4 linked regions of the Saccharomyces cerevisiae S288C genome follow. Changing the gene in region 2 together with the main gene of any one other region gives a genetic interaction. Each region holds a gene or a part of one and is shown on either strand. Other genes may lie near its edges.

Region 1 (5,092 bases), on a different chromosome or scaffold from region 2:
CATTTCTATGATAGGTGCATCCTTATGTGGGGGATTCTCTATTTCATCTTTTCTTTTTAAAACCCTATAACGAAGCTTCCATCCGGTCGGCCCTAATTCTTTTATTCTTGCAGATTTTTCCTTTGTTAAATAGTTGTCAATCCCTCCTTCTTTACTGATTGTTTTTAAAACTTTAGCGGTCATTTTGATACTGATTTTTCTGTTCAGAGTCTCACTCCAGAGACCTTTTTTGACAACATTTGGCAACCACTTCTTCCTCGTTTTGGCTTTACTTTCAGAAATATTGTTACCAAACTGAACGAAAGATCCACCATATAGACCTTTGTTACTCTGTTTGAAGATATTAGATTCCCCATACTTGTAATCTGGAAATTTCTTTCTTTCTTTTGGCATATGTAAAGGTTTAGCATCACCAACTTGGTAGTTCGGTTGTTTGGCAATCTTCCTTGTTTCAATCAGTCTCCATTGCCTGAAGTTTTTTACGGAAGAGGTAAAGCCTCTCGTTAATTGGAATGGTCTGAAAATTTTTTGCATATTCTTCTGTGAGCTTTTTCTTCCTTAAACTGATTTTTCTATACCCCTGGGCACTAACTTCTAATAGCTCTAGCTGATCAGCTGTTTTTGGTTTCTCAAATGAATTTCACAAAGCGTGCCCGGATGCGAGAATACGAGATTATTTAATTAAATATAATTGCAGAAAGAGAAGAAGGAAACGTACTAAGCTCAATTTGTCCACAGTATAATCAACAAAATTGCACATTTAATTGTTTTTACTAAAAGTTTAGGAAACCGTTGTCACGATGTAATTAAAATTCTTGAATTCTTGATATGAAGGCTCTTTTCATGATGTGCCACATGAGTACAGCCGATATTTGAGAAACGTAGAATAAAATAAAACGTTAAACGCCAAGATATTTACTGTTGCAAAGTTTAGAATGGTATGGAAAGGGTTACTGTTAACTGCTAACTCGAGTATATATTGTCACGATTGTGGTTCATTATTTCTGCTAGAAGTAATGCTTACTAACAATTTCTCGGTCTTATTTATATCCTAAACACTCTCCTTTACTACTTCATCGTCACTGAATTCTTAGTCCATGAACAGTTTTAAAGTACTCTATTTTCTTTATCCGGCTTCCCTAACCTCATATATTATCTTGCAACTTTATACAATTGAAGCTCTCAAATGTCAACAAAATATGAAATAATCAAAAATCAAGAAATAAATTTATCATTATATTTAGTCATGTATCATTCAAGGGGAGCAGTAGCTGATATACACAGTTTAACTATTTAAAAACCTTTTTAAATCCTGACCAGCCGGCTCCCAAAGGATTATTTTTAGAATTAGAATATTCGAATAACGTACCATTTTTGTTTGCAGTTTTTATTTCTTCAATAAGCCTTTCTAGTTCTGAAATCCTATCCTGCAATTTCAAATTTTCGTCCATTACTTGGGTATTCTTTTTCATTGTCTCTTCCAAATCTTTCTTTAAATCATTGGGCACATATACACCTAAAACTTGCTTCTTTTTTTCTGAATCCAACTTTTTCTTCAAATCTAAAATTTGAAGTTTGTAACCATTATTTTCATTTAATACAGACTCGATATTAAGCCGATTTTTCACTAACTCGTTCGCAATTGTCACATGCTCTCTATTTAAAGATGTGTAGTCGTTTTCTAATTTACGAACATGCTTTTGTAAATGTAAATTTTTTTCCGTGATAGACTTATATTGCACTTCTTTTTCATTGTCCAATCTGTGAATTTCCTCATATTCAGAAGAATATTTCTTCATAGTCTTTGGGGTTATTGCTACTTTCATCATAGAGTCTTGTAGTAATTTATCCATACATTCATTTGAGAGAAGAGTGTCACCGCGTGTACCATCATTCTGCTTAATATAAGCATCTAACAGACCTGATTTCAATAGCTCCAGCATATCATCAAAACCCATTTTTAACAGATGGTCTCGGGAATTAGATAAAAGTGTGGCTAAAATTCTCATAATAGAGTCAATACCTTCTAAAAATACCATATCACCGATACGTGGTTGAATTTCAGTGGGAAGTTTCTTTTGAAACAGTGTCGTGAAGAAACCGGGCAAAAACATGGAAGAACGGACGCCTTTTTCAACCATGTGGTTGTGAATTTCAGGATAAAATTCTTCTACAAGTCTATCAAATTTATAGCAAAGAATATCGATCTCAGAAGCACTTGGTAAGAACAAGAGTCTTAAACCGTAAACTTTCATTAGGCGTACAAGTAGACCAAATGCATTTGCCTCCTCCTCGCAAACGTCAAGAATCATATTGATAATATAAGCAATGTCGGTAGAAAACTCACACTCTGGGTCAAAAAGTAAATAAGCCTTTAACACATTACTTATGCGTTTTACGTATTCAGAGGGAACTTCGTCCATCATTTTTAGCTGATTTTCAAATTCCTGGACGTCAAAAGGTGCCATTTCCGTTAGATACGTTTCATATATAGGGTCAAAGGATTTCGATTTTGCATAACTTACTAACTGCCAGACTACCAATCGATAAGCGGCTGGTATACCTCGAGATAGTTGGAAATGTAAGGTTTCGATATCGTTTATTAAGATATTTTGATAGTCGCCGATAACCTTTAACCAAAATGAACTAACCTCTTCAGGAATTTCATTGTTGTTAATTTTTTTTGAATCTTCTTTTAAATTTAGTATATTTTTATCCAAATCACATTTGATAGAGTTATCTTCACTTTTATAAAAGAGCATATTTCTCTTAAATGTACTCGCTAGGAAATGTTTTTGAGCAGCCAAGTCTAAAGGATCTTCTATACGGCGTGGTGGTAAGGTTGGAGGGGTCGATGAAGAAGAATTACCTACAGCACTCGTTGGTGATTTGGAGGGAGTCGCATTACCATGGGGCGCCTTCAAATGAAGAGTTTCCGCATTAACTACCTGCCTCGGAGGTAACTGTGGTCGGTCAAGGGGGGCTTGATCATTTTTATTTCCTGCTAGCACTGGAGGCAATGAGGATTTAAGAGCAGATGCAGATTCTTCTATGCAGTCAGCCCTCGGTGGTAATGGGGGTGAGGTTATTCTTTTTAGAGCCTCTTCAACTTTGGATTCTTCGGTTTCTAATTGCTGGCTGAGGTCATCGGATGGTAGTATGGTTTTACTCTGGGATTCTTCTCTCAATTTTGACTGCATCAGAGCCTCATGGGGATTTGAAAAGGCGCCGATTGATTCGCCGTCTTTTGCACTTTCATTTGAGCCAAAGTTACTGGATGCATTTGTGGTTGCCATTTCTACTTTCTCATCCGAATATGCTTTTTCATCGCCTTCTGGTACTGATATTTCATCCCTGAGAGCGATGCGATCAGAGTCTTTCTCTGGCTGGGTTTGATGGGGAGTTCGTGGAACTTCAATGCGTTCTTCATGTATATCTTCATTCGAATTCATCTGTTAGTGTGTTTATATTTGTTTTCTTGCCGCTATAATCATAAGAGTATATACATGCAGTACTAGTGCAATTGTTGTATATTCTCGTTAAGTGCTTTTCTTTGCCTATGGATAAAGTACATATATGGCTTATTTTCTGCCGAATTTTCATGAAGTTTTTATGCGAAGAGAATGCAAATATAACGATAAAAATAGAATGTATTAACTATAGAGACAATGAAAACAAGCACAAATATATATATATATATATATATATATATATGAACACACAACGTGCGTCCATGTGCAAGAACAAGTAAAGTAACCTTCTTGGTAATAGCGCGATGAAACAACGTCTTTGCTAGACCAATTCATAAGTATCATAGGATGCATCTGATAAAATAGGTGAAAAAGCGCTCCTAGAGGGAAACGAGGGCTCCTTAACAAAAGACCATACGCTTCCTGAATTGTCAACATTAACCAGAGCATTCAAATTTGTACCTTCTAGACTGATATCGGGAGACGTATCTGCGTAAATAACACCCGTAGCAATATTCAGACCTGCAATTAGTTTTTCTGTTTCCACCACAGTTGAGTTTGGAAAATGTATTCGAATCTTATTTCGATGAAAAGTTATCGGCAATGATCCATAATTCTGCAAGATCATGTCAACACTACTGTATATTGATTTTAATTCGTATTTGTAATTTCTAATCATTTCATCCAAATCCGCTAACAAAGAAGGATCTAAAAATGACAAAGGTGCGGAGAATGTCCCATTAACGTTAAATTCTGAAATGGTAAATTCAATATAGGAACCTGGTTTTTCCATGTAATATGCGCTTGTTTCATCAACGACTTCATTCTGGGTCTTCATTATCTTAAATAGTTCTAAATTACGAATGAAATTGATATCCTTTTGAGATAACTTCTTAAGGGCAACTGGTTGGACGTGATCCTGTTTAGAGGTAACATTAGACGCATTCTGATAAGCTTTGCAGGAATTAGAGTGGGAGCACTGATTTAATCCGCCTAGTGAGTTGAAAAAACACCTCAAAGATATAGTCATGTTATTCACGGCTTCTTGGGTAAATTTGATACTGGAAGTCGAATAAGCTCTCTGCCCTAATAATCTCTTTGATGTAGTCATATTCCAGTTGGTAAAAAGGCCCCTTGGGGCTCCTTTGGGCACTCTGGGAAAAGAAGCAAATTTACTGACATTGGGAACAGGTCTGAAATGGTCAAACCTTGCGATTCCTCTCCTCGTGAGAGGAGATACCGTTAAACCACTTGCCCTCCTAAAAGCTGTAGAAGCCTCAAATAGGCTCTTCCACCAAGTGACAAAAATATTGCGATTATATTGGTGGGAAAAATTCCCATGGCTCAAACTGATCAGCGTTCGGTCCAGAGACTTCGTGATCTGCCTGAGGTGGACCCGTGACATTCGCAGCCACATGCTCCAGTTATTACCACCGACAGCCATATTTCGTGTTGGTGCTCTTCTATTGTGAAAGAACCACTTTAGATCATGAAATGCGAAATGTGAAGGAAGAGAAGCTTCTCTCCACATGTCCTTTATATTTATATAGTTCAGCCGTGCGTTTCGAAGTGGATTGCCCGGCTTCGGCTGCCAGGATTTGTTTATGCTTTTGCAATGCACA
Region 2 (3,854 bases):
CGACGACACCACCGTTAAATTCGTTGATGGCGTCGGCCAAGGAGTCGATGGTTGGGATATCCAAACCATTGGTAGGTTCATCTAATAGTAGGACATTTGGTTGTTCTAAAGCTAATAAAGCAAAGACGACACGAGAACGTTGACCTTCTGACAAGGTAGCCATTTGAACGGTTTGACCTTCCCCGGTTAGCCCGTAGCGACCTAGTTGGCCTCTCCAGAATTGGAAATCTTGTGAGATGTTAGAGTACTTGTCACGGACAAATTCTAAAGCAGATTTTGTCAAGTCCAGTTGATCTTGAGAGTGTTGCGAGTAGACACCCAACTTGACATGGGTATGTCTAGAAACACGGCCAGATTGTGGGGTCAATTCACCGGTCATAATCTTCAACAATGTGGATTTACCAACACCATTTGGTCCGACAAGGGCAATACGTGAGTCCATATCGACACCAAAGTTCAAATGTTCGTACAAGTTTTCGGATGGGTTGCTCTCATAATGAAATGAAATATCATCGAATGCTAAAACTGGTGGTGGCAATCTTTCCACTTGTGGGAATCTAAATGAGAAAACTTTGTCAGGGACGACAGGTTGGACTAAACCATCTGCTTCCATCTTGTCCAAAATTTTTTGTCTAGATTTAGCTTGTTTCACCAAGTTAGCATAAGTACCAGCAGATGCAATGAATTTTTTAATATGTTGGATTTCCTCTTGTTGTTTATTGTATTGTTTCATTTGATTGGTTTCCAATTCGGATCTTGTCTTGTGATAAGAATCATAGTTACCACCGTAAGCAGTTAGTTTTTGAGCTCTCATGTCAATCATATTGGTACAAACACCGTTCAAGAAATCTTGAGAGTGGGACACCAAAACTAAAGTTCTGTCAAATCTCTTCAAATATTCTTCTAACCAAACACAAGCTTCCAAATCCAGATGCGCAGTAGGATCATCCAACAATAATAGAGTTGGCTTAACGAAAAGAGCTTTTGCCAACGCAACACGCATTTTCCATCCACCAGACATATCTTTGGTTTTCTTCAAAATGGTCTTCTTGTTGAAACCTAGACCGATCAAAATGATAGCAGCTCTAGATTCAAAGGTGTCTGGATCCAAAGAGTCCATTCTTTCATATAGAGGCTCTAATAACTCGGACTCAGGACCATCTTCCAAGATAGTCTTTTCGACTAAGTCTTCTATTCTTTTCAATTCGTGTTGAGCTTCAGTGACAACGTAGTCCAAGGCCGACAATTCACTTGGTTCCGCAGGTTCGTCCAATAAATAAATATCAATATGCTCAGGAATAGGATATTCTCTAGTAGCAAGAGCCTTTAAGAATGTTGACTTACCACAACCATTTTCTCCCAGAAGACCATATCTACGGCCGTAGTTTAATTCTAAACCAGAATCTTGGATCAAAACTTTACCGTGGAACAGTAAAGAAACAGAAGATAGCTTGATATCACGGGAAGTCTCCAATGAACTCAAAACACCAGTGACAACACGATCTGAAAGACCATCCTTATCTTGTTGCAACTTCATCATCTTGATTTCTCTAGCGGCTGCATCTACCTCCGATTCTTCAGCAGCAGCCTCCTTTTTTCTACCTAGCTTTCTGATGGTTTTACCGGCAGCGGCTTTCTTAGCCTCTCTTTCAGCTTTCTTAGCATCTCTCTTGGCCTTTGACGCAGATACTGGTGGCATATTTGGTTCTGTCAAGTTACTGTTTGTAGCACTGAGGGGAAGAAAACAATTTTTGCAAGAAAAAAGTTAAGAAAGAAGAAGAAAAACTACACGGGCACTAACATGTTAAATATGATAATATTTTTTTTTATAAGAGAATCACTACCAAGTTACCTGAACTACGTCAAGGAAAAGCCATTAATTGAGATGAGGTGAACGAAGAAAAAAAAAAAGAAAAAAATTTTTATTTTTTTTTCCATCGGTCTCCCCCCTCACCTTTCTTTTTTCATTCGTTTAAAGTGAGATTAGGGTAATGCATTTCGTATTTAGTGAGTAAACGTCAAAGGTGATATAGGGGGTTTTTCTTTTTCCAGAAAAAGAAAGAAAAAAGCCGGCGGTCGCCGCCGGAGATGGTTGAGAAAAAAAGGGGGCAGCAACGTGCTTCACATACAAACCAAGTTCTTGGATCTGTACGATCGTTTCTGCGGGTTTTTCCGTATTTGCCGCAATACTGAAATGGCTCATTATTAGGAGATGTGCATATAATGTATATACATACATTTAGCATATGTAATACATTCGTACATGTATAGAAATATATGTTTATATATATATATATATATATATGTATATACGAACTCGGTTTAACGCATAGTTGGTAAAAGATTTAATGTAGATAAAAAACACATAAGTTTTATACGCACGTAATCATGACTATCGCTAAAGATTACAGAACAATTTATAGAAACCAAATCAAAAAGCAGATACGACTAAATCAGGAGCATTTGCAAAGCTTGACACATCTAGGCTCACAAATCAATTTCGAGGTGGATCCTCCCAAATTACCGGATCCGGATCCTGCTCGAAAAGTATTTTTCTTTGATATCGATAACACTTTGTACAGAAAATCTACGAAGGTACAATTGCTCATGCAACAATCATTATCAAATTTCTTTAAATACGAATTGGGGTTTGACGACGATGAGGCAGAACGCCTAATCGAATCGTATTATCAAGAATATGGATTATCCGTGAAAGGTTTAATAAAGAATAAACAAATTGATGACGTCCTACAATATAATACATTCATCGATGATTCCTTACCTTTGCAAGACTATTTAAAGCCTGATTGGAAGTTAAGGGAGCTGCTGATCAATTTAAAGAAAAAGAAGCTCGGCAAATTTGACAAACTATGGCTGTTTACAAACTCGTACAAAAATCATGCCATCAGATGTGTTAAAATATTAGGTATTGCTGATCTATTTGACGGCATAACCTATTGCCACTACGACAGACCCATCGAGGAAGAATTCATTTGCAAGCCAGATCCAAAATTCTTCGAAACAGCTAAATTGCAAAGTGGGTTGTCGAGCTTTGCAAATGCCTGGTTTATTGATGACAACGAAAGCAATGTGCGGAGCGCGTTGAGCATGGGGATGGGCCATGTTATCCATTTGATAGAGGATTACCAATATGAGTCAGAAAATATTGTTACTAAGGACCACAAAAATAAGCAACAATTTTCCATATTGAAAGATATCCTTGAGATTCCATTGATAATGGACGTTGAAGTTTACCGTCCATCCTCTATTGCCATAAAGGAAATGGAAGAGTTGGAAGAGGAAGGGGAAGCAGTCAACTGGTCAAATCAACAGATCAATGTTCAGTCATCATGACTGTTACCTGATTTTAGAAAACAAATTTAATATTCCCTTCAGGATAGAAATTTCAACATCATTTGTCGTTTCATTAGAAATATCCAAAATACAATCTTTGAAATATTCTGTTACTTGACATTTGGGACCAAAAGGAATAAATTTCGAGCCATACATCGTTAAAATAAAATATAGTAGATTTTTATAGTTTTTACAATCAAAAAATTCGTTAAACTCTTTGATTATATTTTGCTGTATAGTTTCAGTCCGACCTTGCTTTTCACTAAAGCGTCTCCTGAGCAAGGCGCTTTGTAAATGAGGGAAGATTTGTAGTAGCCTATAATGTAAAAAAAAGTCGTTCTTGTCCACAATTTCGAAATATGAATTTATGAAATGTGCCTCATTAAATAATTCCAGGACCTTAAAACACAGTCTATGGTCCGATTCCATAGCGTTAAAAACCTTTCTATCCAAGATTAAACATATGAAGGCTTTCAGAAAGAATTCTCTAACATCATCAT
Region 3 (4,011 bases), on a different chromosome or scaffold from region 2:
GTGATGCGGTTCCTGAATACATTGCTGGCGACCTCTGGCAAGCGTCATTTGTGGCCTTCGGAATATTTAGCTTTAAATATGGCTTCCCTGAGAGCTTTCCTCTATTGCTGTTCAGTTGGTGCAGGTGATGGACCATCGCCTGCACTGGAGCTGGACCTTCCAAAGTATTTGATATAGCAACTGTCGGGTGTATCTTTTGCTTTGCTTCAAAGCTCTCGCTGTCACCCGTCCCATTAAATCCTTTTCCCATTGGGTTACTATTTGCCGGAATAACCTGTACAAATTGCGATTGAAAGGATGGAATATTGCCCACTAAACTTGCAGGCAATGAAGGCTTTGGCAAATTCTCGTAAGGCGACGGGTAAAAATTATGATAATTAGAGTGGTTAGATTCAGAAAGTAGTAAATGAGTATCCGGCCTAATCCTCTTGTTCATAAAATTCCTATGAATAGCCTCGTTTGCAACATGCTGTTGGTCTACGCTTTCTTTATAATCATTAGCATGAAAACTCCCACCAGAATTTAAACCGCCTTGCAACATTTGATAATCTGCACTATTTCTTGCACAGTCAGAATGATTGGATCCGCTACGTGATATTGCTCCGTGGCAATGCACCAATGGTGTACTTACACCAGCGTTCCCGGCGTCATTTGACGCCAACGGAGCGCTTAAATTCCCATTGTTTTGTACACTGGAGGAATCTTGACTCGAAACTGTACAACTCCCAGAATGGGAAGCTGGTTGCAACACGGTTGCTCTTCTTCGCCTGCGCTTCCTTTCATTCAGAACAACACGTGGTTTTTTCACATAGTCACCATAATCAGATGGTTCTATGATATTATGAGGAAGATCAGTGTTGTTTTGATGAACATTAAGCAGGTTACTCATATCAACAGAAGAGTATTCGTAGAATGTATTATTGGATCCTAAAATAATGACAGCAATGTCTACTTGGCAAAGTACTGACAATTCATGAGCCTTTTTAAATAGTCCTGCTTTTCGCTTTATGAAAGTAACTGTACGATTTCTATCATCTTTGATAGGTTCAATTTCAATTTTTCTTCTACCCATTTAGCAGAAATTTTTTTGAAAATAATTGTGTTTGCTTATCTAGAGCTTTATTAAATTTTTTTCTGATGAGATAGGCCTGCTCGAAAAAATAGTCTGTCTTTGAATTTGGCTCGTATATTTCTCCCTTCGAATGAATGATAAAGAAAGACTCAAAGGAATGATGTAGTGTTATATAGATTGGCTAAAATAATTTGGCAAAAGAAAGATGGATAAGGATAGTTCATGTTTTTGAGTCCTTCACGAACATAGGAAGCCGGGTATGCGTGGAGATTTAAGTTTTGCCAAGCCTCCAATTACTCGAGCGAGATTATTTTTGCAGAAGAAACAAAGACGCCGCTTGTTACTAAAAAAAGAAGGCAACAATAATGCAAAAAGTTCGAACCAACTGTACCTCAAGCCGTTTTGTAAGCCACTATCATCGGGAACGGTACAGGTAGAATGATAGATGAAATTTACGTAAGCGTTAATGGAAAACAATAACGATGTGGTGTAAAAGCTAGTGCGTAGTGTGAGTGCCACTAGTTTTCTTTGACAGCTTAAGAGCAAGCTTTTGGAGCTCACAATCAAGTGAAACAAGAATTATGTTCATTTTCTCCTTCGGAACTGCAGAATAAAAATTCTTTATACTATAAACACCGCCATTATCAAAAAAGTATTGCTGAATCATGGTATACAGCGTGAAAATCTTCATGGCATTTCTACAAATTCTTTTTAGTTAGTATCGCCAACCATTAACCTTTTTAGTAATGCTGACGTTAAACGAAGGCGAAAAAAAATACTTGGCAACACCATCGTTTATATTTTTTTCAAATGGAAGTGTCGGCCGACGTAGCATAGCAGGAAAGATTCAAAGGCAAGGGTTTCACATAACGTTACCCTTCTGACCACGCCCCTTCTTTCGATCCCACTAGTGCGGACGGATTATCACGCAAGTTTTTTAACGCGAGACATCGGAAAATATTTATGCCGATTAGATCCGGCCCCTGAAACTTTTTGTTTGATACTTTCAAACGCACTACTCTACCCCATGACATAAAAAATATCTGTCTCCGGTTATATATGTCTAAATAGAATTCGGGTAGCATTTTATTTTTATCGCTTATAGGAAAAAGATATTTGCATATATATATCTATATATCCTATATACATCTATATAGTTATTGTGTAAGGGGTTTTTATAAGGTCCGATACTTACAGAGATTAATTTGTAAATAAAAGCAGAAATCTTTATTTAAGAAAATAGAAGATTGATGGGAATATTTCGTTGGAACTATCCAGAGAGTTCTGTCCCCGGCGTTTGGGGAGAAACAACTTCCACTATTGACTGGTGTGAGGAGAACTATGTCGTTTCTCCCTATATTGCCGAGTGGTCAAACACTTTAACTAACAGCGTATTCATACTGTCAGCGATTTACACAACTTACTCTGCTTACAAGAATAAATTAGAAAAAAGGTTTTTACTTATTGGCTTCGGGTACGGTTTGGTCGGAGTAGGATCATGGCTATTTCATATGACACTGAAGTATAGATTCCAACTATTGGATGAACTTCCAATGATATACGCCATGTGCATTCCGACATGGAGTTTAGTATGCGAGGCCAAAGAGGCATTACTTAACGGAGATAATCACAAGAAGGTTCCTCTATTTGAACAGATATTCATCGGCGTAATTATCGGCCTGGCCGTTACAACAGCAAGCATACTCTACGTTATTTACAAAAATGTCGATATCCATCAAATTTTGTTTGGCGTACAGATTGTAGTTGTGGCTGCTACTGCAGGAAGTTTGACGTACAGATACGTCCATGATCCACTTGCCAAAAGAAATCTCAAGGCTTCAATGGCGCTCGGCGCAATTTTGTTCTTATCTGGCTACATTTCGTGGCTACTTGATATACACTATTGTTCGTTCTGGGTGCACGTTAGAAGAAGTATTTTGGCTTTACCACTTGGTGTACTGCTTGAACCACACGGATGGTGGCATATATTAACTGGTATGGGGATTTATTTCTACATTGTTTCTTTGGAACATTTAAGGGTCATTACGCTCAACGTCAGCTGCAATTACCAGTTCATCTGGAGATGGAAAGTCTTCCCTGAACTGATATGGAAAGGGCGCAAACCCTCAACAAGATATTCACTTGAACTATTTGGCCCATACGTAGAAGATCAATCAATTGAAGTTAAAAAGGAGAAGTAATAATTATAGCATAATATATATTCATAATGTATAGGCATATTTATTTTTTATTTTTTTTATTTCATGTTCTATTTAATGACGAATCACGAAGAAAATATATCTAAGAAAAGATCTTTTGAATCCTTGATTTGCGAATAGTTTAAATGACCCAGCTTATTGCTCTGGTGAAAAAAAACTTTGTGCGGTCTCAAAGCCGTCGGCGGCAAAATAACGTGAATTGATGAAAGTAAATAAACAAAACAAAATCTCTAATTGTTGTAACACAAATACTAAGAAATTTGTTAGCTAATTCGGGACATGTACCAAAATAATGTATTGAATGCTATTTTGGCTTCTGAAAAATCAAACTTTCAATACGATAGTGGAACAATATTAAGAAACCACAAAAGACCAATAATAACATTTAATAACAACATAGAGCACACAGTATCCGAACCTAATAATTTTACAGGCTATGAGGAAAAGGAAGATTTGGATATAATGGATATTTGTCCTTATTACCCAAAAGCAAGAATGCTGGCGGATGCCATTCAACATGCCAAAACGAGCGCAAGTGAAAACAAAATGGAACTATCAATGAAAACTATCCCATGTCTCAAGAAGGAAAACGTCCATGTTGAGAAAGGGCACGATTGGTCTCAACTCAGTACGAGCAGAATTTGTAAAATTTTAGAAGACATAGCAGATAAAAAAAATAAAACTAGAAGGCAATCTGCCCCATTACAAAAGACGAAGTAT
Region 4 (4,794 bases), on a different chromosome or scaffold from region 2:
TCTTATAATGGGGATAGAATTGATCGTTAAGACAGTGTTGAATAAACCGTCCGCGATGTTGGCGCATAAGCCCGTGATTTCCTCTTCTGTGGTTTTCGGGTCATTCAATGTCAAGTATGCGTTTGAAATTTCTAGTGAGAACAGTTCCGGTTCAGTTACAATGAAGTCCAGGTATTGGTCGTAAACTTGTTTGATTTTATCAGATTTACCCGTGATGGAGACTTGTTGAGCCAAATCTTCCAGGAGGTTTCTGGGCAGAGATGAGGTAAAGTTGATGTAAAATTCAGAATACTTGTCGCTTTTCAAGTCATTGACTATAATGTCAATGTTTTCCTTTGTGGGGGAGACGAAATATATGGCAGGGACATCTGGCAAGGGAGATCTGTCTTGTTTAATCAAGGAATGAACGGTGATACCAGCTTTCAGCAGGTCATTGACTCTGAGAACAGAAGATATGGTAGCAGTGCTCTTGATGTCCAGTATCAACACCTTCCAGATGATCTCCTGCTGGTTAAAAATATCGTCTGTGATGGTGGTGATGTTGTCGTTGTTGTTCAAATCCTTATTTAAAAACAGCATTTTTAATATGGCAGAGATTTGCATATCTCTTAAACTAATGTCCTTGCGGGACGCAATTTCCTCCACAGCCATGATGTTGTGATTTTTGGTCAAAGATACTTAGCAACTGGCAATGACTATTATAAGTTATCATGTCAGGTTATTAAAGGCTGAGTTAGAATGGTGCTTCTTTTTTTTGTTTTTTTTTTGTCGTTTCTGCAATTACTGTGGTCAACGCGAAGAGGGAAACGGTGTTCTTTGGCAAAAATTGGTATGATATTTTATATAATAAATGTATATATACAAAATATGATGATGATGATAGTGACTGGAAAAAATATGTTACATAGAATTTTTGTATCTGACTACTATTACTACTAGTATTCGTGTTCTTGTTATTATTATTATTATTATTATTTTTTATTACTGTGGTGTTTCTTTCAAAGTGGATCTACCTGCCCTTAACAATTCATCGCATAATAACAAGTTGCTGGCAATACCTGTAGCACCGGTAATAGCATTTCTTAGTACGCGGTAGGAATCCCAAATACCCTCGATGGTAGGGTCGCAAGAATCACCTATGTTCAAGTCCACACCAACATATCTCGTTTCGTCAGAATCCTGAGCGTCATCCAACTCGTCCTCCACCATTGCGAGCACGTCCAATGGGTCGAATCCTGAGTTCTTCACCAAAGTCTTTGGAATTACCAGCAATGCTTCTGCGAACGCCTCAATACCTGTCTTTGTTTTACCCTTGGCACCCAACTTGTTCATGTTGGCAGATCTTAGGTATCTCGAAAGGGCGATGTAGAACGCACCAGCGCCTGGAATGATGTTTTTGTCCTTGAGAACGTTTGCCACAGCTCTGAGACCATCTCTCACCGCATCCTTTGTTTGAGCGAGGGCATAATGAGTGGAGCCCTTGATTAAGATGGTGCAAGACTTGGGGTCAGTGTTCTCTGTAACGTATGTGAATTTTTCCTCGCCTATGGTTTCTTGGTAGACCAAGCCAGAAAACCCAAGAATCTGAGGCGACAAGTCTTCCACAGAGTTCTGAGCTTCACCGCCAGTGACCAATTGCAATCTTTCCATGTTACGTCTCTTGGCCCTTCTCAAAGCCAAGATGTTGTGTTTGGCAAACACGTCTAAAGACATGGGGTCAATGCCTTTTTGGTTAATGATAACAAAACCCTTGTCTGGATCCATGCCACAAACTTCGTTTTTCAAGTCGATGATCTTCTTCAACTTGGCATCCACAAACTTCCTCTCACTAGCGGCCAACTTGTCCCTTTGGTCCGCAGAACTGTAAAAGAACCCAGAGTTAACTTCAGTCTTCTCGTATTCCAAAGATACGTTCAAAATCAAAACATACGCGTTCTTCACACGGGTGGGCATGTCAGGATGCCTACCACCGTGGTCCAATACCAAACCCTTAATAAAAGTGGTATCTTTAGGAGACAAGTGCTGCATCTGCATGATCTCAACCATGTGTAAATCCAAATTGTCAGCCTGCGCGTCGTACACGCTTAGCACCGCATCCGTTACAATGGGCGTCAAGACCTCCGTCAAGTCAGCGTCCACCTTGGTTAGCAGCGACGACCGGGCCACTTGCAGAAGGAACTCTCTATCATTGGAAAGGTTCGTCTTACTGATCTTGAATTCGTCCAAAAATTTCATGGACTCCTTCCGCGCAATCTCAAACCCATCAGTGATGATCCGCGGATGCACGCCCTCTTGAATGAAACGGTGCGCTTGTCTAAGCAATTCACCCACAAGACACACAACCGTCGTGGTCCCATCGCCCGTGATTTCATCCTGCGCGGCAGCTGCCCTAGCAATCAGTACCGCTGTAGGCGACTGGATCTGCATCTCGGTCAGCAACACTTTACCGTCCTTGGTCAGCTTGATGTTACCAGCACCATCCACAAGCATCTTTAGCGTGCCCTTAGGGCCCAAGTTGGTCTCTAGGACGGATTGTAAGCCCTCAGCAGATGTGACGTTAACCTTCAAAGCCGCATCCCTTCTCAACGATTCAGCCTTCGGATTCAACAATTGCAATGACATGCTTCTACTCTACTTATATTATAATCTTCTGCTTCTCACTGCTTCCACACCCTTAACCTTTACCTTTTCCACACACTGCACACATACACTGTTATACATAATCCTTTCCGTCTTTCGTTCGTTTCTTACCAGAATAACAACTACTAACACATCACCGAGCGAAAATTTTGCCACCAAAGCAAAACTCCCGTAAACAGTGATCCACGGCCCGTATCCATTCTGCCGCAGAACCCACACCTCTCACTCTATCGAAAAACAGCCTACTCCCAGGGTCCCCAAAATGAAAGCTCACTGCAATGGGAAACGATAATCACAACAAGGGAATGCAATTAAAGAAAGATATACGGTACACGAAAGGGAGAAGCGACGGCGTTAACCTATTTGCAAACGACCGAGTCAGACAGCTCAGGTCCAGTCACGTTAAAGTGGGTTACTTTGAGCTGAGGTGTGCGGTTGCGGGGCGTGGGTGTGCGCGCCGTTGCCATGCTTACCGTTCTCGTTGCGCTCGTTGCTCGTATTGCCTCGTCTGTTCTTGTCTCGTAGCTTTTTTATTATTTGGGTTAATCGCGTTGTTGAACAAGAAAGTATGATAGTTGTTGAACCGGCCCCTCGTCCCGTTCTATCTTTCTACGGGTGTCGTGTCTATTATTTTATTGTTTTCCTACTAAGGTTCTTTGCTATTGTTCTTTTAATTTTTGGTTTGTAGCTGACTACACGTTTCAAACCCAATCTTGGCAGCCCGGATCTTCATCACTCAGCTTTTCCCTACTTTTTTTTTTTTTCGTTTCCTTTTTCTTCTTTTCTTTTTCTATTTAAGAGAGAAGTTGGCGAACTTGAAGTACACATACACGCTCTCCCTCGCATCCCGGAGCTCGCAATCAACCACTATTACTAATCACATCCTAAATTTTGGGAAGCCTACACTACGATGGACACTGTCGGTACGGACGCAGCAGCCGCGAGCATTAATGAGCGTCGCTTTGCCCAGTCCACTTCACCAAAAGTTAGTGTGAAGTCACAGGACTCGCTGTTTCTGATCACTTACTCCAACATGCAGCAGACAGTGGTACAAGCGTCTTTGGCGGACCGGTACCCTTCGCTAAAGAAGCTTAACATCCTACTTTACATAGATATCCCTACGATCGACTACTACAACGATGAGATGACTCATAACAAGCTTTCCAGACTGAATAAACGGTTTAAGCTGCATCGGCTTAGAAATTCGATCGCGCAAAGTTTTTCCAACACATCTACTGCGGAAGATAACGATAAGTTTTGGGAGGAGTTGAAAAGTCTGATCAGCTCTCGCAGCACACCGGAAAACAAGTTTGATCTGAATGTACTGGTGTCGTCTTCGGGGTCTTTACGTTACGTGGAGACCATAAGATTTTTGGTTGAAAAATTGTTTAATTCTTTCAAAGACTTGTATGTTCAAAAGAAACTAAACCTATGTTTCCAGATCAACGTTTCTCCCACCTCTCTCAAGTGGTTTTCTACTTTCCTGAACGCAGAACTGCTTAATTTAAAAATCATTAATTGGCAGAATATTGGTTCTTTCACTAAGACAATCCAGAACTCCAAGTCACTCCCGTTCAAAGAGTACTACACCAAGTTGAACGAGAAATTCACCGGCTCAAACCAGAGCAATGGTAGCATGCAAGACCAGACTGTCTTGGATTCCATAGTTATTGTCACGAATAGCACGGGGGTAAAAGCACTGCTGACTTTGTTGTCAGACCACCCTCTCACCAGCCTTATCTCCCAGGAATCAATAAAAGCGCTACATGAATATTCAGATGCTGTTAACGAAGATAAGGGCGACGACCAGAGCAACACAAGTTTGAAAAGAAACTCTTCGTCGTTGTTGAATTTTCAAAACTCGGTTTTAACCTCCAATAAAGACAAGTCCGTCAGAATTAGGTCGTTGTCTATCAACAGAAAATCCAACAGGGCACATATGTTCAAAACGAACGAATCCATCACAACTATCCCATCAACGTCAATCAACAATCTTATTGGTCAGGAATCCAACCTACGCAAGCAGCCTTCGGGAACTGCACTGCATTTACAATCGCATCTGCATCCACATTCCCGTTCACAATCCTATTCTAGTTCTAATATGTCCAGATCGCCTTCTCCCTTCCCCTACGGAAAGACACCATCAAACGACGA

Evidence for each region.
Region 1: mutations in PHM8 (region 2) and GYL1 together harm fitness more than expected from each alone (negative genetic interaction), as found in Saccharomyces cerevisiae (2 studies listed by BioGRID).
Region 3: mutations in PHM8 (region 2) and YPC1 together harm fitness more than expected from each alone (negative genetic interaction), as found in Saccharomyces cerevisiae (one large-scale study listed by BioGRID).
Region 4: mutations in PHM8 (region 2) and CCT6 together harm fitness more than expected from each alone (negative genetic interaction), as found in Saccharomyces cerevisiae (one large-scale study listed by BioGRID).

The regions. Positions count from the first base shown.
Region 1 is NC_001145.3:645,478-650,569, reverse strand, and holds GYL1 (Gyl1p), read right to left. Parts: upstream 3,453-5,092; coding exon 1,290-3,452; downstream 1-1,289. Other genes in the region: mitochondrial 54S ribosomal protein bL28m MRPL24, read right to left, coding at 1-534; SPG5 (Spg5p), read right to left, coding at 3,793-4,914. UniProt on the Saccharomyces cerevisiae protein: Probable GTPase-activating protein which stimulates the GTP hydrolysis rate by GYP5 of YPT1 and SEC4. Involved in ER to Golgi trafficking and polarized exocytosis.
Region 2 is NC_001137.3:223,501-227,354, forward strand, and holds PHM8 (bifunctional nucleotidase/lysophosphatidic acid phosphatase), read left to right. Parts: upstream 1-2,388; coding exon 2,389-3,354; downstream 3,355-3,854. Other genes in the region: ATP-binding cassette family ATPase ARB1, read right to left, coding at 1-1,699; Smc5-Smc6 complex subunit KRE29, read right to left, coding at 3,358-3,854. UniProt on the Saccharomyces cerevisiae protein: May be involved in phosphate metabolism.
Region 3 is NC_001134.8:593,793-597,803, forward strand, and holds YPC1 (phytoceramidase), read left to right. Parts: upstream 1-2,322; coding exon 2,323-3,273; downstream 3,274-4,011. Other genes in the region: SMP1 (Smp1p), read right to left, coding at 1-1,072; YBR182C-A (uncharacterized protein), read right to left, coding at 1,569-1,763; YBR184W (uncharacterized protein), read left to right, coding at 3,571-4,011. UniProt on the Saccharomyces cerevisiae protein: Alkaline ceramidase that hydrolyzes phytoceramide and also dihydroceramide into phytosphingosine or dihydrosphingosine. Prefers phytoceramide.
Region 4 is NC_001136.10:834,249-839,042, reverse strand, and holds CCT6 (chaperonin-containing T-complex subunit CCT6), read right to left. Parts: upstream 2,623-4,794; coding exon 982-2,622; downstream 1-981. Other genes in the region: SLY1 (syntaxin-binding protein), read right to left, coding at 1-651; SND1 (Snd1p), read left to right, coding at 3,551-4,794. UniProt on the Saccharomyces cerevisiae protein: Molecular chaperone; assists the folding of proteins upon ATP hydrolysis. Known to play a role, in vitro, in the folding of actin and tubulin. In yeast may play a role in mitotic spindle formation.